2 linked regions of the Drosophila melanogaster genome follow. The gene in region 2 interacts genetically with the main gene of each other region. Each region holds a gene or a part of one and is shown on either strand. Other genes may lie near its edges. The genes, in order: PNUTS and RpL27A.

Region 1 (13,267 bases), 3.6 Mb from region 2:
TCTTTGCTCTCCGCCAGCGAGTCCGAAATGTCCTCCGAGCGGAAGGAAGCGCACGATTTTCAACTCTTCCGCATGGTCCACACCTACGTGATGGTGAACAACAACCAGGAGCTGCCCCATGCCACCGTCCTGAGGCAACTGATCCTGGCGGAGCGGTACCTAAAGCGACTCCGCTCAAATCAGGAGTTGTACAAGCTGCACCAGCAGGTCCATCAAACCTACCAAAAGATGCACAATTCACCGGGACTCAAACAGTCGGCTATGGTGAAGCACTTCACCGTCCAACCCATTCCGTGCGAGCAGCACGGTTACGTCCTTGACCTGGGTTCCATGGCCAGGAACTCCGTGCGGCGCTTCCAGCTAAAGCTGCACTTCTTCGGACCCGGCAAACTCATTGCAGCAGCACGCACGGCCGTCAGGATTCCGGGCTTATATGTGGACTTCAATGTCACGGATGCCAAGCAGTAAGTAGTATAATCTGATGCATTTTAATTTATAAGAAACTCAAATAATATCAATATCCCTAAGCTCCGACAAAAAGTTCTCCTTCTGGGCTGAGAAGTGCACGGCACTGGAGTATTTTAAGAAAAAGTACAGGAATATGATGGAGCGACTGATGGACGCGGAGCAGGATCCCAAGGTGAAGCACGCCCACTCCTTTGACCTGGACACTATGGTCCAGCACCAGCGGGATCTGGCGCCCAAGGACCGACGCCTAATCGAGGAATACTACAACAGCCTGAACCGTTCCGTTTATCCAGACCACAAGCACCACTTCACGCTGGCCAAGATCTTCTCAGGCTGCTTGTCCAACTATTCCGGAGTGGACGTGACCATGGTTGGGCTCTTTAAGCCGGAGTCGCGGTTCTACAAGAAGGATCAGCACGTGGAGGACTACCTCTTCATCGATGTAAGTTACACTGACATAAGCTGAGCTAATCCTTAAATGCTAACACGTATCCCACAGTTGCACATGGGACCGACTCTTCCCATCCTACTGAAGGCCGTGCTCGTATCCTAGTGAAGTCCTTAAGATTTGTATGCATTTATTGTGGGTTTCATTCCATTCGGAGTGTATGGGGGCTTCTTAGTCTTATGTGCAGTAATAAAGCTTATACTCCAAAGTCCTCAGCAGTACATGTTGAGCTGGCGGAAGAAGTAGTGGAAAATGAGCAGAACGCAGAAGGAGCTGGTCACGGGCAGACCAGCCGCCTTGATCCATCCGAGGATGTTGAAGTCGTCCGGGTAGAACTCGAACTGCTCCGTGGGTATCTCGCCGCAGTTGGAGATCACCACGGGTTCCACGGGGAAGTCATCCGTATCGGTTTTTACCTGGAACGAAAAATGTGTCAGAAAAAGTTTCTTACATTTCTGTGTGGTGGCTATGCGTTTAAGCCACGATTGTGGTTCCGGTTTGCTTGAATACTCACATCCTCAATGGCATAGATGGTGTCCATTCCCTCCAGCACCTTGCCGAAAACGGTGTGCTTTCCGTCCAGCCACTTGGCGCCCACGGTGGTCACATAAAACTGGCAGCCATTGGTGTCCGGGCCCCGATTGGCCATGCCCAAGTAACCGGGTCTGTTGTGCTCCACCGCCAGAGCCTTATCCTCGTCCGGAAAGTAGTCCCCATAGATGCTAATGGAGCCAGTTCCGTCGCCGTTCACAATGTCGCCGCCTTGGACGAGAAAGCGGTCCACCACGCGATGGAATCGCGAGCCCACGTAGCTGGTCCCGTTGATGCCGCGCAAGCAAATGTGCCGGAAGTTGGCCACCGTCTTGGGAGCCAGCTTCCCGAACAGTCCAAACGTGATCCTGCCCACCGGCTTCTTGTTGTGCTTCACATCCATGTAGATCCGAGACGTGACCGTGAAGCTCAGACCACTGGCCACGGCCAGAAAGGCGCTGCACAGGATTATCCGATTGAGCAATGACTTCATGATTTTACGGACCTAACGCGCTGATGAAATACACGTAACTGAAACGAAGACTGGACTGTGGAAACTATACGAGTAGAAAGTCAATTCTGGGTCGCGGGCCTGGAAACGGAAGCCACAAAAGTTTCAGGTTAAGTGCAAGCACCGCATGATGATGGCATACCCTCTGCAGACATCGATTTCAGCACCCGGCAGCAAACATCTTGTTCGGTTTAATGGCAAACGTAATGTTTGGCTCAACTATGTTAATAACTAAAACTTCAAAAGTATCGTTTCTAAAAGTGCATTCAATTCGTTTCACTAAATAAATCAACTGCATTGGCTTTGCATCATATGACTTGATATTTAATTGTGTAAATTTAAACTTATAAATATTTAACCTTATGGTAATCAGCATAATAATAAAGTTAGCGGGGCAGGGAATTGAACCCAGATCTTAGGCTAAAAACTTAGGGATAGACTGCGTCTACACAAAAATATACCGAATACATATATACACTTAGATTAACTTGCGGCGGCTAACCTGGATACAGTCTTCATGTGGGGACTCGATTTCGGAAATCTTGGCCTCCGTTGCGCGTCTGAGATCTATGCAGCTGAATCTTCCGCAGAAGATTCGGGTAGGTCCTACAAGCGCTTCTTCTGCGGATGCACATACTTGCAGTTCTTGCCCATGTTGCAGTGTCCTCGCATGAACTGCTTGCAGACGCCGGTGTTGCCATTGCCTCCTCCACCTCCTCGATTGGGGCCAGATCCTGCTGAGCGCCAGTTGCCGCCGGAGTTCTCCTGGAAGTTGTTGCCCCCGCTGCGCCAGATGCCGCCGCCGTTGTTTTTGTTCCTGTTGTTGTTGTTGTTGTTATTCCTAGGTCCGCCCATCATCAGTCCTGGCCCCATTCCATTGGGCGGCCCGTTCATCATGGGTCCATTGGGTGGGCCGTTCATCATGGGGCCGTTGGGTCCCATCACTGGACCATTGGGTCCCATTACCGGTCCCGGACCTGGTCCATTCATCATCATGGGCGGGTACTGATTGAATCCAGGTGGTGGGCCGCTTCCGAATGGAGACACTGGACTTCCAAACTGATTGCCCATAAAGTTTTGCGGTGGCATGTTGTTCATGTTCATATTGCTCATATCCATTCCGGGGCCACCGGGTCCGTTCATCATGGGCGGTACACCGGGCGGCCCACCTACCGGACCCATTTGGTTCTGCCAGATTTGCGGCGTTCCGTTGGGCACTTGATTTGGCATCATGTTTGGTCCGGGTGGCATTCCCGTGGGAGCAGGCATGCCTCCCATGAACGGATCGAATGGATTTTGCATTAGGTTCGGTCCAGCTCCCAGTCCGGTCAACATATTGTCATTGAAGCCCATGTCCGATCCGCTGATATTTGCTCCGACTCCCGAGCTAGGCGCGTATTTCTTGGGCTCCGGCCACGCCAAGGCACTGTAGTCGTTGACAGCATCCGGATTCCCCGTCAGGTCATCCATGGGTATCACGGGAATGTCATGAGCAAAATGCGGTTCCAGTTCCGCCTCCGCAGGACTGTCGGGAATCATGTCGGGCGAGAAGTACAGGGCTCTTAGAGTGGTGGCCTCCCTGTCCATCTGCACCTGGCGCTGCTTGGAGAGGTTTCCGTTCGGGTGGTCGGGCACATTATCGACTTCGAGTAGTGGCCGCCACTCCATTTGCGGCTCCATGGTATCGTCGAATCCACGCCGAGCAATGGTCAGCGCGTCCCGCTCGCTGAATCGCTCCATGTTCTTCATTTCCAGGAAGGTCTGCTTCATCACATTTACGCGCTCTGAGCGATCGACCTCGAAGTATCGTATCTGGGTGAGCTTTTCCTCTGACTGCCAGGTTAGCTTCTTTTTCGGGCCCTTGCGGCGGTGCAGCGTGAGCACTCCCGGTGGTCCATCGGGTCCACAGCCAGGTCCAGGCTTCTTGGGCTCCTCGGGAAGATCTTCAGCGTTGTCAGAGGTGTTACCCGCTTCTCCGCCTTCTCCGCCTGCCGCAGCCTTCGCCTTCTGCACCTTTTGCTCGATGTCCTCCTTGACCCTCTTAAGGGGAATGTCGTCGTCATCGGCATCCGTGTCCTTGCCAGGTGACGAGGAGCGCGCATCATCGTTTTCCTTGCTGCTGTCGTCCGACTTCTCCTCGCTCTTCGACTCGTCCAGAGTATCCTGGTAGAACTTAAGCGGCGCCAGTGGCGCGTCCTTGTCCGTGGGCGATGTTGCAGACGTACGCTTGCGCTTCACCACCTTTTTGGGTTCGATGGAGGCGGCCAGGGCGTCCGAGAACAGGTTGGTCTCCACCAGGGTTTGAACTGGAAAAATGAGGGTAAAGTAAGTAATCGCTCCAGTAATTGGTTTAGTTAAGAAAATGTTTAAGTGGCCTTCGTTGAATGGCCCATTGGCTTTGGTGGATTTTGCTTTTGCTGGAAATTGCTAGAAGTAAAAAAGTTATGGAAAGAAACAATCTGATCTGGACACACACATTTGTTGTGTTTATGATTGATTGATTAAGTTTACCCACATTTCGATAATTAATGAAATGGGAGTCTCTCTACTGGAATAAGCACCGAATATATACCAAAACCTAGAACTACTAAACAATTCATGAATTTTCCCCAAAAGTTCTTTAAAAGTTTTGGCTTGCTCGACTTTATTCGGTATAATTTCATATATAAATGTCAAAATGTAATTATTCGACTTTTTTTTATTTAACTAGTTTTTCAACACAAATAGTGTTTAATCATCATAATTAAAATAGTTATAAGCTCTCATTGCGATTGAAACTTGAGAAGTACGCTTATTAAAAGTGTATTGCTAAGACTACTAGTTATACGCAATAGTTAAACCTCTTTAAACTTTGATGCTTTTAGTATATTTATGTCAGCACATCGATAAGTGTCATTGGGTTTCCTCAGCACTAATCTACCCAAGGAACCCGACACTGCGATCAGATTACGCGCACCGTGCAGCTTACTGCCAAGGTGACGCATCCGCTGATGACGCACTACGACGAGGATGTGGGTAAACTAGGGTTGCCTGCTCTAGCGAGGCGAACAATTGTGGAGACCCTCGGTGACGCACGACAGCAAAATCGAGGCCAAAGCAAAGCAGCTGGGACTCAAGCCCACGGTGGTGATCGAACCACCTACCAACTTATAGAACCGCCAGCTTAAGTCAATATTTTCGTTTTCGTTTCTTTTGCGCTCAATGCATTTTTTTATTCAATAGAAAAATCGTATTTTTCTAGAGGAAACCGTATTTTATTTGTAAGTCTTTAAGGTGGGCTGCTCGCCAAGTGAATCTACATACCTTATAGCTAAGCTAAGCTAAATACGTTCAAGATTTGAGGTTTGAATACTTAACATCAGGCAGCGACAACGACGACGACGACGGCGGCGGCGGCATCGTCTGTGCCTCAGATTTCGTTTTCGTTCGGTCTCAGCGCATGCGCAGTGCCCAGATTTCGGGATTCAACTCCATTCAACTTCATCCGCCGTCATCCGGAATTGAGGTCATAGACTCACACTCGGGCAGCTTGCAGTTCAAACTCGATCCGGGGATAACACCGCCACGATTGATACATTATAATGCAAAGTACCCACACTAAAAGGCCCCACTTCTGCTCTACAATTTAAGACCCGCCCCAAGCAAAATTAAACACCTTGAGAATGGAATGGAGATCAACAAATAATACGGCGGAGTTCGACATTCGACTCCGATCGAAAACAAAAGCAAAAGCCACCAAAGTTCTTGGGCTGTGGAATAAAATAGAGAAGAGCATTAATAGTGATTCTAGCATCTGTTGCTTACTCTTTTTGGGCGCTATCAGCTTGGCGGCTCCGGGCCTCTCCACATGTCCCGCGACGTTGTTGATGTCGATCTTGGCCTTCTTGTCGGTGGACAAATCCCTGGGTGGCGGCGATGGTCGCTTCAGTGAAGACGGGACTGCCATTAAAGCGGGTGAAGCGGCAACCGCCGACGATGTGGGCTTCTTTAGGCCCTTGCGAGATGGGGGAGGCGGAGCCTCTTCCGTCAGGCCATGCGATCTGAATTTGGACTGGTACGTCTTTACAGTGGCCGTCTTTTCGGTGTCCCGGCGAATTTCTATCGAAATGGAGGCCTTGCGGGACATGATAGGAATCGATCTGGGCTTCTGTGCGTCGCTCTCCTTTGCCGAAGCTGTAGGAGATGTACCTGCAGCATTTGATGCTGCCACAGCTGGCGGAGGCATTAGCTTGTTGTCCTTGTCCTTGTCCTGCCTCGAGGATGAGGATGATGACGAAGTTGACGACGACGACTTGCGATCTTTGGACGAACTAGAACCAGAGCTGCTCGACGACGACGACGACGACGACGAGGAGGACTTTGAGGACTTGTGTTTATTCGAGGAAGAAGAAGACGAACCGCTGCTGCGCTCCCGGTCCTTGCTCGAGCTGGAGGAGCCGGAACTTGAGCGAGCCTTGTCTTTATCGCGGTATTTATCGCTAGAACTGCGATGGGAAGAGGAAGAAGATGAGGAGCTCTTGGAAGAACTGCTCTTCGAAGAGGAGGATGACGAGGAAGAGGACGACTTATGGCTAGATGAGGAGGACCTATGACTTGAACTTTCCTTCTTTCTATCCTTCTCGCGCTCCTTCTCGGACCGTTTACTTTTGTCGCTCTTTGAGCTCTTATGCTTCTTATTATCCACGTCCTCCCCAGACTTAACCTCCGCCGCGGAGCTACTATCATCTAACCCGGACTTTTTCCCCAGACTAGCATCTGCTAATAAGTGGGTTGCGGAGGAGCCCTTTTCCAGATGTTCCACCTCGTTGTCTTTCGATTGTGTGCCAGAATCCGTTTCGTCGCCACCATCTGGGTTGTCCAACAAAGGCTTCCACTTGATGGTAATGCTGTTGGAATTGCTACTGTTGGCCGCCGAGGTGATGGTATACGTCACAGGTGCTCCGGCGCTATCAGTGCTGTCTGAAGAAGAGGCAGAGTCCGGAACTGAAGCGGAGCCAGCTCCAGAAACGGATGCAGGAACCTGAGAGGCAGTAGTGGCTGCAATATGTGGCGCAGCACCTTGGATCGTCATGCTTGTGTTTTCCGTCACAATCTTCAGCCACTGCTCTACCAAACGCTTGGCTAGAATGCGTACACCTGGAAAACGGGGTCGAGAAAAGCCAATTAGTAATCCCTAGGTAATTAAAAGCATAAAGGACAGCCCAAAACATGACCCAAAAACACTAATCTACGACTAGAGTAAGACTTATCAAAGAAAACTTACCTTCGTTGCCGCCATCCTTGCACAGCCCCTTGACCAGAATAGGTGCTGAGTTTATCTTGAGGCGATTGACATCCACGGGAGAAAGGAGCAGCAGTTCCAGGATCTCCTGTACCAGCGGCCAGTTCATGGCCCTGATGGCATCATTTAACCAGGTGTAGACCAGCGACCAACCGCCCACCGCCATAAAGTCGCCCAATAGTTCCGTCTTTGTGGATTTCAGAATTTGTACATACACACATTTCGAGACGAGTTTTTTTGAATACTTGGCCATCAAACTGTGGGCGAAAAACTTGATATTAGCAAACGCCGATAGGTGTCGCTGCTGACAAGTGGTGAACTTACCCCGAAATGCGTTTCACCTCCACTGCACTTAAAATTCCACCATTATTGTCCAAAAGCACCCGCAGGCACCTCAGCAATTGCAGTGGAACTATACGAGGCTGTCGAATAAAAACATTAAATAAAGCACAACTGTTGTTGCATTTCCTAGCCAATATAACTCACCATTTTCTTTGTTAGTCGTGCGAAAGAAGAAAATTTATCTGGCAACGCTAACTCCCTATAGCCGTCTCTCTTCCACACTTGTAGGTGTGACCATACGCAACGTGTGCGCGTGTGTTGGATCGTGCGTGTGTGCACCGACACTCGCTTTTGTTGGTATGGGTGTCTTAATAGATACTAAATTTCCACTGATTACGTAATTCCATAAGAATTCGCTTTTTCAAGGACTGCAATAGTATCTAAAATAGGAGAAAACACCAGTCTGAGAACAAATTTAGCAGGATAAAATTTTGCTATATCCCTACAATTCACTTTTAAGACGAGTATTAAATAAATTCCAGCAGCAGCGCCAAAATATGATAAATGCTGTTATTTTATTGTCTCAACTGGCAGTAAACCAATAATCCCTCCGCTTGAATGTTTTGTTTTTTGTTTTGGAGCTGCAGAAAACGTGTTTTACGCGTTGCGATTTTTTCAGGCACTGATGAAATTCGGACGTGTGCTCGCGGCTATCGGTAATCGATAAGCCAGTGCAGCCCTGAAGGCTGTCCACTCTCAGAAAACCGAAAATTATATATTACGACGTATTGGTATTGATACGAAAACATGCGTTCGTCTGAACGTTTGTAGCACAAATGTCTCTCTACCTCGTTTTTGGTTACAACCCAAATTTGACTTTAGGTACAAGCAAAATGTGAAAGTTACTTAGTTTTTCTGTTAAAGCAGGTTGGCAGCGCCTTGCCACGCACACAACAATGACGCCATTTTGATTTTCACAATTTTTCACAAAGGCGTAATTAAATCCGCAGCCAAGGGAAATGCTAGAAAATTGTCTTTTAATAGCAACTTCAACAATATCGGCCACTTTATATTGATTTTTCTTTGTTTAATCCTAATTATCGGCTTTCGTTCACGTCCACGCCCCAAAATTGGACATGCGGTTAGGTCCGCACACTTAGGTCGAGCAAATCGGTAATAAGCCTTCCAGAAAATATATATTAAATGTACAATTGTTTATCGGCCTTACAATTTGTTAAATATTTAATTGGCGACGATTTTTCTATCTCTCCGAAAACTCCTGCGTGCGCTTTGCTTAGGCTCACAAAATCGTGTGACCTTTCCTTGCTTGAAAATAAAAGTTTGTTTAGAAAATACCAAAACGCATAGTCGGAATATGGTAATCTAATTAATACCCCTATTTTGAAAGTACAAACAATAATTATTTACTTAAAAACACTTTTAATATAAATGGATTTAGTTTCCCGTTAACAGTTTCAAAAACTATCCACGGTGGATAATAGCGAATGCTATAAAAAGAAATTTATTGAATTAAGATTTTAATTCATCTTAATTATTCTAACACATATAATGGCATAAGTTATAGATACCCTGAGCTCTTTTTCAATTAAATAAAATTTGTGAAGGTGTCAGGGCTAAATCATGTATTGTTTGACTTATTTCTTATATTTTAGATATTCAGAATTGCATATTTTATTAGTATTGATGTACCCAATATCCTTAATATTTGAGTTACATTGGAATCGCAATTTTGTTAAGGCATTTATCTGGCACACGATCAAATATAATTGTATTTGAATATATATTTTAAAACATTCTCAATCGAAAAATTTATTTTATAATCAAGATAAAAATAAACCTTTAAATAGGTAATCTATCAATAATATTAACCAACCAGTTTTCCCTGATATGGTCACACGCATTTACCGCTGATCTGGCAGCCTGGCCAAAACAAGCGTGCAAGAATCTTACCTGTAGAATTAGCTTCTGAAAACTCGAGTAACGATGAGCGAAAGTGAAGCGGAGGAGACCAAAATCAGCACCGAGCCGGTGGACAATGCGTGGTCCATGAAGATCCCTGCCTTCAGGCAGGAGGACAACCCGCATGGGATGGTGGAGGAGAGCTCCTTCGCCACGCTGTTTCCCAAATATCGGGAGCGCTATCTTAAGGAGGTTTGGCCTCTGGTGGAGCAGTGCTTGGCGGAGCACCACCTGAAGGCGGAGCTAGATTTGATGGAGGGGAGCATGGTGGTGAAGACCAGTCGCAAGACCTGGGATCCCTACATCATCATCAAGGCGCGGGATATGATCAAGCTGATGGCCAGAAGTGTTCCCTTCGAGCAGGCCAAGCGGGTCCTGCAGGACGACATTGGGTGTGACATCATCAAAATCGGAAACCTTGTGCACAAGAAGGAGAAGTTCGTGAAGCGGCGACAGCGTTTGATCGGACCTAACGGCGCCACCCTTAAGTCCATTGAACTGCTCACCGATTGCTACGTTTTGGTTCAAGGAAACACAGTCTCCGCCTTGGGTCCTTACAAGGGCCTTCAGCAGGTGCGGGATATAGTCCTGGAGACCATGAACAATGTGCACCCCATATACAACATTAAGGCTCTGATGATCAAGCGGGAGCTGATGAAGGATCCGCGTCTGGCCAACGAGGACTGGTCCCGATTCCTGCCCAAGTTCAAGAACAAAAACATTAGCAAACGCAAGCAGCCGAAGGTCAAGAAGCAAAAGAAGGAGTACACCCCATTCCCGCCCAGCCAGCCGGAGAGCAAGGTGGACAAGCAGCTGGCCAGCGGAGAGTACTTCCTCAACCAGGAGCAGAAGCAAGCGAAGCGCAACCAGGAGCGCACCGAAAAGCAGAAGGAGGCGGCCAAGCGCCAGGACGAACGCCGAAACAAGGACTTTGTCCCGCCCACGGAGGAGTCAGCTGCTTCAAGTCGGAAGAAGGAGGATGGCTCCTCCTCCAGCAAGGTGGACGTGAAGGCCCTGAAGGCCAAGCTGATCAAGGCCAACAAGAAGGCGAGGAGCAGCTGATAGTTTTCCTAGTTTTAATTAGTAGTAGGACCTATTCAATAAAAATTGATTTTCTGAGCAACGTGTAAATAGAAATCTTAAGGTTTACTAATGGGATGAAAAGTTTGTGGGGACGAACTCGTATTAATTCTAGTTGTTTTTAAAAGCCAATCTCCAAAAATGCAATGGATACATAATGCTAATTCAGCATATAACATGCTGAATACCTTATACTTGTAATAAAATTAAATTAAATACTTATACAATAATTTTGATTCTATTGCGGTGCCCGCTAGTGTAGAGAGAGATCTCTTTCTCTCCCTCTCTCTCTCTGTCGCACTCTCTCAACAAGTGGCTTAATACAAATATATACAAACAACTCAAAAGGCCAGCGAATGAGCCAAGTTAGTACGATTTCTGGTACCGGACTGACATGTACTAACCGCGCTTAAACAGCGGATGACGCTCGCGTGCGTTCCACAATAACAACAAAAACAGTATCTGAAAAGCCACGGCAACAACAACATTGGCGTCGCGGGGCTATTGTTATTCGTACGTTTATTTTCCGCAAGCGACAGAAAAATAGAAAATAGAAAAACGGTCTGTGAGAATCAAAAAGAACGGAGCGAAAGAAAGCCGTCTTAAAAATAAAAATCAAAGAGGAGCGAGAAAGCACTAGACCAAAGGCGGCGGCTGCCAGAAAAGGACGGAGAGAACGGCGAAGACAGGTAATAAGGAGGTGGAAGAAGAAGAGAGGATTAAGTGCTGGACTACAGTTACTTTTAATGTTTGAATTAAAATTGAAACAATGCTCGAGTGATCGCAGTTGTAACGCCTAAAACCGAAGCTAAACCCGAAAATAAGCCCGAAAGCCAGTTGAAATGCCAAGCAAACGTGACAGAGACTTGGATTATTCGTGCTAATTAGAAAAAGAATGTGCTGCTAGGTGAGAGGATGATATCGAAATGCTAACGTGATATCGATACCTGTGTGTTGTGCGTGTGTGTGCGAAGGGAGTGTATACACATACATATGAATATCACACATTTCACCGGAAAATGCGGTCAATTAGAATAATACATACAGCGAATTGAGCCTGTGTCTGTGAATTAGTGAATGAATTGAACAAAGCATTGAAAATCAATACGAAACCTGCCGCCGCTCCCACTTTTGTACATACAGTAATGCGTCGGTGAAGTAATACTCGATTGCGGGAAATCTGGAACATATACTAAGTTCAATCATTTGAAATTGGTTAGATTATTAATTTAAATAATTGCCTAAAGAGCTTCAAGGATGTTATTTTCAATTAGATTACTTATTTGAGGGTCCACTGTATATCCGCGCTCGCACATTACTGTGAAGCCTCACCTGTGTGAGTGCGGCTTATAGGCGACGTGTGTGTGTGTGTCTGAGAGAGGCTCGTGGAATATAAACAGCGCACAGTGAGAGAGGAAAACGGAAAACAGGTGGAAAAGAAAGCTTAAAAAATGCGGTCGGTCAAAAACTAAAGTTGCAGCAACAGGCGAGGGGGTGGCGGGTGCCGGGGGGCTCGAGACACGGAGACAAATACCTTTTCAAGCCGCACACACCAGCGCAAGCAAAGACGTCAGCTTATCTGCCACGCATGCGCGCGAGGGGGACGACAATAGTGTGGATCGGGGTGTCGATGTCTCTCCACCCCCCTCCAGCCCACCACCATCTAACGAGCGGGTTTCCACCCAAAGAACAGCAAAAACAACTATTGTCATTTGTTGTTTTGCCATTTGCTTCGTAAACCAAAAAGTATGCGAGATAAAATAAAAAAGCAAGTGTACCGCACGCCGCCGTTTTATCTAAATCCCAGCTGTCTGAATTATTTGAGGCTCTAACACCCCATCTCACGCTTATCAGGACCCAATTAATTATCTTCACCTGAATGGAAGCTATGCTTGGGGCATGTCTCCAGGTTTATGGTTCTTGTCGGGGAGTTCTTAGATACCAGTGCAGTTATGTATCTTAGATTGCCTTACCGAGGCTTATAATTTTCCCCTATTTACAGATGCATAGATACATATGTGTGGATTGCAAATATTTCAAGATTATAGAAGTACAAAAGTAGTAATACTTATATTATAAACATATATGTATTTCATTTAGCATAATGTTTTTGTAGATGTTTATGATGACTTAACTTAACTTCAAATCACCCAGCAGCTTTAGTACTTTCTCTAAAGCATGATTTATGCAAGCCCAACTATTTCCATGTTACCCAAGTGCGATAATGTTTATCGCGTTTCGTCATTGGCCTCTAAGCTGCTGTAGAGTTAGGAGCGAAAACACAAATCTGTCAAATTCCACAAGTGTGATGCAATTTGGGGCTTGTACGAACAGTAAAACGCTGAAATATAACACAGCGGCGCAACTTAACGAAAACAAAACATTTCCAGGGGTGTAGTGGGTCAGTGTTTTCTTTTTTACGTGCACTTCGCTTGTTTGTTTACTGCGATTTTGGCTTGTACAAGATCGTAAGCAGATAGTGCCTCCAGCTGACCCCCTCTGCAGTTTCTCTTTCACCTGTTTGCAAGTACACAAGCACCCAACACCCCCTTTCCCCTGTCCATTGACCCTGCGACACTGCTGGATTGATACACTGAAAACAATCGACAAACTTGGGGGTGTTTCTATCATGGAAAATGTTGTTAACATTTAAAAATGGTTAGAACTACATTCTAGAGACTTTCTC
Region 2 (8,985 bases):
GATGTGGGCCAATCAAATGCTGACCTGGTGTCAGCCAAGACAATTGCCTTGGTTCTTGTCTTTGGAATGGATATTCAAACGATGCAACTAATGGTTCGCGTCTCTGGTGAGTTAGACGTTATTTTAGTTTGAGCCAAAAAGTAATTTGTTTTTAAAAAACAATAATACCAATATGTAATCCAAGACAGTTTGACAACCCTGCGTAGTACCGACATTTAAATAGACTTACTTCCTGAACATTTCAAAATCGCAAAAGTGGTGCCAAAATGGGTATTACTCTGTTCCGATTGGCCAGTTTTACTCCAAAACTGAAGGAGCTGCGAATCATTCTGGATCCCAAAGGAGACACTTCCAAGGGAGTCAGGTGAAATTGTCATTTTCCGCTTTTAAATTATATAATTTGCTAAAGCAGCGTTCCTTTACAGGGAATACGTGGAAAGGTTCTATCCAAACCTGAAGAAGAGCAATCCCGACCTGCCGATCCTCGTGCGCGAGTGCTCTGGCGTCCAGCCCCGCCTCTACGCCCGCTATGGTGAGTAGATTAGCATAATGTGCGCTGCTAGCTTCCCCCACATCGATTCCCATGTCCGCAGGCAACGGCAAGGAAGTGTCCCTCTCCCTGGCCAACCACGCTGCTCCTGACATACACAAAAACCTGGAAGCGGTTGGCAAATAGAACTTACGCTGGAAAACTATGTAGATTAGGCGCAAAATAAAGGCAAAGCCAGATGCTTTATGCACACATACGTATACGTGTATATGGGATAACATTTACACTTAAATTCATTTTCTTGGTAGGTACATCGATTTCCAATTACAGCAATAGCATCTTTTAGCTACAAAAAGTACGTCAGCCATTAAGTTCAATCCGTGAAGGCGGGCAGCCCGAACTGCTCCGGCTTGAAGTCCGCCAACGAGGCCAGCACTTGTGTGGCGTGCGAGGTCTTTTCCTGGGACAGTCGTGGGTCCGGCACCATCACCACCTGCATTCCGGCGCTGTTGGCAGCCGTCACGCCGTTCGGCGAGTCCTCGAACACCAGGCAGTCGGACGGTTTGGGCGGCACACCGAATCTGCCGGCGGCCACTAGGAAAATGTCGGGCGCAGGCTTGCCGTTGACCACCTCCTTGTCCGACGAACCGCACACCTTGTGGTTAAACAGGGAGAACAGCTCCCGATGTTGGGCCGTCTTCAGCTCGACCATGTCGGCGCCGGAGCTGGTGGCCAAGCAAAAGGGTACCTTGTTGGCGTGCAGGTGACGCAGCAGGCGCTCAGCACCTTGAACGGGGAAGGAAGCACACGATTAACAAACGGCTTTAATCACAGTAGGATAGTAATTGAAGCAGAAGTATTTATAGGGAGAAATGCCGATTAGTTTTCTGGTCGTGGTGCTAACCTTCCAGCAGGGGTACGTTGTGGAATCGCTCGTGGCACATTTGCGAGTACCGCTTGAGATAGTCTCCGGTTGTGATGGGCAGCTGGCACTCGGTGATGGCTATCTCTGCCGAGCGCTGGTCCGTGGTGCCCATTACCCGGAAACGCACTTCCTCCGGATACGGGCGGCCAAAGGAGGCGGCTATTTGCCGGGTGACCTCCTCGTATATCCTCTCCGTGTCTGAAACGTGACGGCAAAGCGAGAACTGGGATTAGTACCTGGCATCAACTGGGCGTTCCGCATCAGGATCTCGGTGTTGGCGCGCTGCTGGCGTGCGTACTCCTCCCACGACATCGGCAGCTCGTAGTGCTCGACCATGAACCGGGCCAGCGGTTCCGTCTGCAGGCCCATGACCTGCTCCTTGATCTCAAAGGGATATGTCTTGCCGTAGGGCTCGAGGATCATTTCGGTGGCCACAGTATAAAGGCGTTCGGTGTCTGTTCGGCAAATAGTTAACACAGAAAGCAGATACAAGCACGGCAGCACTCACCCAGCAGCAGACCGTCCATGTCGAAGACGCAGTGCGTCACCTTTCGCAGCACTTTGTTGGCCATCTCGCAGCAGTTCTCCTCACTCTGGGCTTCCGATTATGTAATGTTACAAAGTCAACAAGTTCGTTTCCTAACTGCAACACAGAGGTCATAATCAAGTTACTTTGTTTTTACTGGAACATCCCCCGCCCACACAGGCATGCCCTCCACTTTGACTACGTTTCCTGGATTCGGTGCCTCTTGTTCGGTCGTGTCCTTGACCCAAGGTCGCCGCACCCCATCACCAACAGCAAGGTCAAAGATGGAAGTTGCCCTCATCCCTACGGCCTTGACCTACACGTAATCTGCTTCCGCTTTTTGCAATATCGGGCGTCTCGTACTTTTCCGCCTCTTCCGAATTTTTCCGCGAGCTTTCTGCCCGCCGCTGTGTGACCGTAGCTGCGAAGGCGCAAAAAGCCTAGTCGAGAATAGTGCTAAAAATGGAGGGATTAACTGATAATGCGCACCGACGCAGTTATACTCTTTAAATTACTATTTATTTTCTTTATATTATTACTGTTCCTCTTAAGTTACAAAAATAGGCATACTTCTAATATTGTCAAACTCATTTAAATTTGCCCTTGTTATTTGATTCAAAATACAAGTTTTCCTTTGCCACAACAAACTAACCATATAGAAATTATTCTTTATAAAAATATAAAGGAAAGTTGTAGCAGGAATAGAAATAGAAAGTTCTAAACAACTTGCGCCAAGCGAGCAGAAAATGAAGCCCCAATACCTTTTAGTAAACACATTTTGTCGGAATAGCAAATACTTGTTTTTCTTTTAAATTTATTAAAAAACAAATACATTTTTGATGGTCGAATGTAGTCCACTTGCTTTTTTCTTCTGTAGAGGAGGAATCTGCAAGGGAAACAATAGCAATTAGGATACTGCACTTCATTGCTTCGCCGACGAATAGGTAAGACAGCTAGACACACAAGCTCACCTTAACTTAGGCGCTCAGCAAGCACACACCGCCGGCCTTCTTGATCTTGTCCTCAGCCTTCTTAGAGAAGTACTTGGCCTTCACGATGACGGGGCGGGCGGGCAGGTGACCACGGCCCAGCAGCTTGTAGTAGCCCTGTGGAGACATGAGAAGGACACCAGAGTCAATACAATGGGTTACAACGGGGTGAGAACGGGTGCACATCCTCTTCAAGAACTGCTGGCTTTGATCTGAAAGGCTGTCCTCTACACGGTGAGAGCAATTGTACGGTAGCATTCTGTCCGCCCATCGCCTTGGGTGTATCTTCATGTTGAAAGCGGCAGCAGAGTTCGCGTAGCTGGATGGGGAATTCGGGCGAAACTTACGAATTTAACCAAGTCGATGACGGGAGCCTTGGTGCTCTTCTCCTTCTCCAGCTCGGCGAACTTCTCGGCTCCGACCAGGGACCAGAGCTTGTCCAGGTTGATCTCGGGCCTGAACTTGTGCTGGCGACGCAGATGGAAGTTCCTCATGCCCACCTTGCCGAAGTAACCAGGATGGTATTTGTCGAAGTTGATGCGGTGATGGTGCATGCCACCAGCGTTACCGCGACCTCCGGGATGCTTGCGGTGCTTGCCGATACGGCCGTGACCGTGGCTCACATGACCACGCAGCTTCCTGGTCTTCTTCCGCTTGATATTCGACTGTAAGGGAGAGCAGAAAAGAAACGTGTTTTCATTGAGCATTCCTCAATCATTTTCACCCACGTGCTGGAGGTTATGTTTACTTGCTCCAGTCGCTATGCTCACTTGGCCATTGCAGTCAGTGGGCAGGCATGCTGCGGCACTTTGAGTGAGCTCTTATTTCTATTCCACATCATTCGCCTGCCCACAAACCACATTTTAGGTGCACCACATTTACCGACGTCCACTCACCATCTTTAAAATTGTAGGAAAGAAAGAAGCGAAGTTGGCTGCGGTTGTAGCAGTGTGACCGCCCGGCGGCGATAACAAAAAATACGAAATACCATCCGGACAGAAAACATATACCCCTAACTACCATTTTAGTCTGAAAAAATATCTCGTACACACCATTATATTTAAGATAAATTTAAGTCTATATGCATTATGAAAATATATAATCATGAATAATTAAACATAATACTGCATATATAAGCGTTAAATTGAATTTCACTACAACAATACTAAATAAGTTTTTACATTCATAGGATAAAACGTGTACTTGATTTAAGCGAAATTCTGTAGGCAGTGCCTATACCGTCATGTGCATAATTTTATAATTTCTTATAGATGATTATGGCTTATTATTAAAGTTCATTTTACAGTTCAATAGCGTTCGGCTTGGCTAAAAAAGGGGGAAGTGTAGTTTTTGTTTTTGAAGTTCGCAATGTAAAAAGTTTTGCGAAATTAATAATCGAAAATGTTGCATTGATATCTGGCTATTAACTGGATTTCTTTTCAAATTCGGGGCGTGTATTCGATAGTTGGTTCAGAGCATTGCTAAATACAGTGCTGTATAACGGTCGTGCTGGCATGTAAATATAACAGGTGCTGTTAAGCACATCGATGTTAATTGCCAAAAATTCAAATATTCACATTTCCATTTGGTTTAAATTTTGTATTTAACAATCTAGATTTCCTCCACTAGACGAAATCGCTGATGCTGATTTTCGGGCACAACATTGAAGAACTTCTTGTAGATGTTCTGGCCCTGGCGACCGGCGTAGTTCCGCTGAATCCAGGTGTGGTCCCAGTTGGGATCGATGGCCTCGCAGGTCACATAAACCTTGCCGTGCTCCATGGCGAAAAGGGTTCCATTGCGGCCAAAGCCCACCTTTCAATGGGAAAAAGTATAAAAATATGCCGGGATAACTCCTTCCTGCGCTACTCACATTCAGGCCCGGATGAAAGCGCGTTGTGAGCTGGGTGGCCAGTATTGTGCCCTCGGAGACGTGGTGCCCATCCTGGACGCGCCATCCGCGATGTTTGGGCCTCGCATGGCCCTTCTTATTCCTCGTACTTCCGCCGGTTTTCTTGCTGGCATTGCGCACGGTGGCTAAATGGGATTGAATTGATTAGAATATGCAACCGGTTCGTGGGAAGTCCTTACTCATCAGCGGCTGGTCTGCCTTCAGGCACTGCATGGTCAGCTTTTGCATGATATTAAACGACATATTTGTGATTTTATTCCAGTAGCGAGGTTTGTTTATGCAATTCCAGATGGGCACCAGTGTGACCCCCGAGTTCAGCTAGATCAAGAGCATTAACAGACTGTTGGCCACTGTTGCCAATTGGTGTTAATAAAATCTAGCTTTGTAAATATATATCAAATAAATCTACGTTTGTATTTTCAACAGTATTATTTATGCTTAAATAAACTATCGTCTTAGTCATTAATATATCTGTCACGTGTTTAGCTAATAATAATTAATATTCAAAAAATTTGCTGTAATCCTGTTATAGCTAACTGGACATCACTGCCGCAAGTGGGTGGACTGTTGAGTTTTGAACCTTCAGTGGTAGGGCAACACTCGCCGGAGTGTTGAAAATTGTCATTGTTTATTTTTTCCGGCATAAGCATTAAGTTTAAGGTTTGCCATAAGTATGACGTCGTGGGGCAATATCTGCCGCATCTGCAGCAGCCCCGCAGACTACGAGATATTCGCCAAGATTCCCACGTATTTGCACGGCTCCACAAACGAGTTTCTCAACTGGCAAAAGCCCATAAACGTTCTGCTGGAGGAGACGACGGGCCTGAAAGTAAGTGACTCCATTCTAAAGTAGCCAGATAAATGTTTATATGAGTGCCTCCTCTTTCGACCGACCGCAGAACTCCACGGACGACGGACTGCCACGCAACATATGTGCGCCGTGCATCTCCTATCTCAAGCATGCCGTCACATTCCGGGAACAGTGCATCAAGAACGCGCTGAGTCTCAAGCTGGCGGAGCTCTACCAGCAGAAGAGGGTCAACGTTTCGGATGCGAACAAGATGGACAAGGAGAGCGCCCTCTTCACGGCGGAGGATCTGAATTATGTGGAGCAGAGGCCAGTGCATAATCTTCTGCTAAACAACAGCGCCAACAAACTGGAGTCATCCAAGGACAAGGTACACAAGCGACTGCTCAATCAGACGACTACCCAGCTAGACGGCAATGCTGAGCAGAAGATCCAGTACTTAAACGTGCTGTTCAACAAGCAGCAGCCTCACAACAGCATGCCCAGGCAACCGCGGGATGGCGAACTGCCATCGAGCAGTGGCCAAAATGACGACGAAGATGACGACTATGCGGTGGCCAGTTCCAGCGACGACAACGAGGAGGCGGCCCTGCTGCGCAAGCACAAGAACTGCTATAACTACACCGAGACCAACTTCGAGGAGGACGATCCCATGGAGCAGGATCAGCTGCAGCTGCGCGACATCAAAGTGAACATACCGGAGCCCATGTGGAAGGAGCGCAAGTGTCCGGCATGCTCCAAACGCTTCATGTTCGAGGACTCGCATCAGTCGCATCTGGACAACTGCGTCGAATACCAGTTCGTCACGTTTGTTACCGAGGTGACCAAGTTGCTCGAGATTAGGCGACAGAAAATGGTCTCGCCGCACGAGTTCATCCGCCGCATGATATTCGCTCTGCACAAAACTTGCGCCTGGCTGCAGGAACATTCCATAGACTCGCTTCTGGCCGAGAAGCTCAATCAGGTGAAGGTGTCCAACGGTGAGAAGATAGCTGAGCCGCCAATTCCCATAGATATACCCGATCCCCGGCCGGTGCAGGAACCATCTCTATTCGACTGTGCCAGCGGAACGACGACTCCGATCACGGAGGAGAACAACGTGCTGTACGCCATTGAGCGCTCTGAAAGTTGCCATTCCCAGGGCACGCCGACGGTGAAAAAACCCATTCCCATTCGCGGAAAGGCGGCGCTGGGAATCGGGCTGGACAAGCACAGGGAGAGAGCCACGTTCCTCGAGAAGCTGCAACGGGCCGCTGTCTCTCCTGGCACAGTTTCGCAGGGTCCAGCGCCCGTTTTCTCAGCCCGCTGCGGGCAGTGCAATTTAGAATTTGACTCAGTCTCCGAACTGGAGGTGCACAACCACAATGCCCACAGGGGCAATGAACTGAACGCCGACGACGAAGCCAAAAGGCGTCAAATAATCGCCCTCTTCGAGGATGATATTTAGGTTTTACAAAGTCCTGTTTTTCATGCCGGTGGCTCAATCAAACTAGTAATCATGTTGACCACTTTGCATCTGTGTTTTTGTCGTATTGTATTTATTTATTATTTATTTATTTTATTCTGTTTCCATTAGTGATTTAGTTTTGCTTAGCGGCAATCCATGTTCATTTACAATACATTCTCGAGTACTCAAAAGTCCGTGGCTTTATATTTATATGTACTCTAAGACCAATAAAGAGATTTGCAAGACTTATTCTTAACCATAAGCCTATGCGTATATTTGCAAGCTATTCAGTACCAGGTTGGAATCTGCTACCTTCAAGTGCAGACAGTTCTTGAGCAAGCGCATCGCGTCCAGGTTGAGATCTGGATCTCGCAGAGCGAAGAGCTGGTTTAGGGTTTGCACAAGATTCTGCGGGTCTGCCAGTGCGAATATTAGACTTGTGTCACCTAGGGCTACCAGATTGGTCATTACACGCACGGCGTAGATTAGGCACAGCCGGTCGGCTGGCGATGCTAAGGTGGCTTCAAAGAAACGCACCAGGCATTCGGCCTGTTGAGCATCTAACTTGTGCTCCTGTGTCACTATTTCCAGTTGGTGCACTATGTACATGAAGTACTCGCTGGCAGGCTGGCCGTGGAGCTTCTCAGGCAGATTCTGGCCAATGTACCTTCGATCCTCGTCACTCACATGCTGCGGGCAGCGGGTGGCCACCAGGGAGAGGCAGATGGCCGCATCTTCTTGGCAGCCATTGGGCTCGATGTAGAGCCTCCACAGCTTGGGTACTATTTGCATTTGCAGCAATACGCTGCCGGCCTTGTCGCATGTGCCCAGAACGTTGGCCAGTGTCCACAGGCAACTGCGCTTGAGGCGTTCGGCCTTGCCATCAAGGTAGGTGACCATGTAGCTGCCCGCCAAAGTGACAATCTTTTCGGAGACATGGGCCTCGCCCAAGGAAAGATTACACAAGCACTCCACGGCATCTGTCTGTCGTTGAATGTGAGGTCCTGAAAGTCAAGTCAACCTTTTTATATAAAACTAAAGCTAATGAGGGTGCAGTTGGTTACCAGTTAGCTCCTTAACCAGAACCTGAATGGCGCCAGGAATAGCTGCGAATGCATTGATGTTGTCATTGCTCTGGAGGAACCCCAGCGACAAGCGGCACAGATCCTCGGAGGTGGCGTGCTTGCGACGCTTGATCCTGCTGGCCATTCCAATGACGTCCTTGGTGCCCATCTCAAGAGCCGCCACTTCCTGCTTAACCTGTCCAAGTCCAATGCGCAATGAGTCTTTCGCCTTTATGCGGCACTCAACACGGTGATCCTTGGCATATGCACGAATCTTGTTTCGCAGAAAACTTCCCTCCCCAGTTGTCGTCACAAAGTCCATTTGTTTAAATTTCATGGAATCCTTAGCAAGTGAGCAATATTCCGATAATAATAACAGATTATCGATAACTATGAAAGGTTAACAGCACTTCACTCATCAGCTGTTAAAATTGTAAACAAAAAAGGTACGCACTTGTTTGTTTATATTTTATTTGGAGTAAGTAATGCTTATTTAATTTCAGGTCAATGGTGGTAATCTGAGCCCGGAATCGATGGATAAACATATTCAGTGGCACCCAGGAACCCGATTTTTCATATGTGAATTTATTTTTATACTGGCAAAGAAGTTCGGCGAGGAGATTCATTTCCTTTTTGTGCCTTTTTAATTTAATTTTTCTATGATTTCCACGGAAAAAGTCCAGTGCTCCTTCTGTCCAAAATTATTCACCACTAGCTAGGCGAAAATGTGAAAAAACTATACGAAGATAAATGTTTGTTTTTCCAAAGAAATTTATTTCAATTTTATATTCTTCAACAGGTAAAGGATATCGATATCCGATAAG

What was found.
Region 1: of RpL27A (region 2) and PNUTS, changing one suppresses a phenotype caused by changing the other (phenotypic suppression), as found in Drosophila melanogaster (one study listed by BioGRID).

The regions. Positions count from the first base shown.
Region 1 is NT_033779.5:866,035-879,301, reverse strand, and holds PNUTS (phosphatase 1 nuclear targeting subunit), read right to left. Parts: upstream 8,838-13,267; 5' UTR 8,750-8,837; exon of another isoform or gene 7,962-8,749; 5' UTR 7,729-7,961; coding exon 7,726-7,728; intron 7,662-7,725; coding exon 7,564-7,661; intron 7,497-7,563; coding exon 7,222-7,496; intron 7,095-7,221; coding exon 5,763-7,094; coding exon of another isoform or gene 5,584-5,762; exon of another isoform or gene 5,153-5,583; intron 4,265-5,152; coding exon 2,565-4,264; 3' UTR 2,264-2,564; downstream 1-2,263. Other genes in the region: CG15824 (uncharacterized protein), read left to right, coding at 1-464, 529-910, 968-1,021; ninaA (neither inactivation nor afterpotential A), read right to left, coding at 1,129-1,332, 1,431-1,940; dbe (dribble), read left to right, coding at 9,526-10,563.
Region 2 is NT_033779.5:4,454,463-4,463,447, forward strand, and holds RpL27A (ribosomal protein L27A), read right to left. Parts: upstream 3,903-8,985; 5' UTR 3,830-3,902; coding exon 3,827-3,829; intron 3,596-3,826; coding exon 3,278-3,595; intron 3,213-3,277; exon of another isoform or gene 3,141-3,212; intron 3,048-3,140; coding exon 2,919-3,047; 3' UTR 2,913-2,918; intron 2,828-2,912; 3' UTR 2,724-2,827; downstream 1-2,723. Other genes in the region: ND-B8 (NADH dehydrogenase (ubiquinone) B8 subunit), read left to right, coding at 267-364, 426-532, 594-676; Gs1l (GS1-like), read right to left, coding at 864-1,276, 1,652-1,870, 1,924-1,987; mRpL27 (mitochondrial ribosomal protein L27), read right to left, coding at 4,542-4,745, 4,804-4,967, 5,022-5,070; CG15435 (uncharacterized protein), read left to right, coding at 5,516-5,671, 5,742-7,097; CG15443 (uncharacterized protein), read right to left, coding at 7,362-8,101, 8,162-8,498.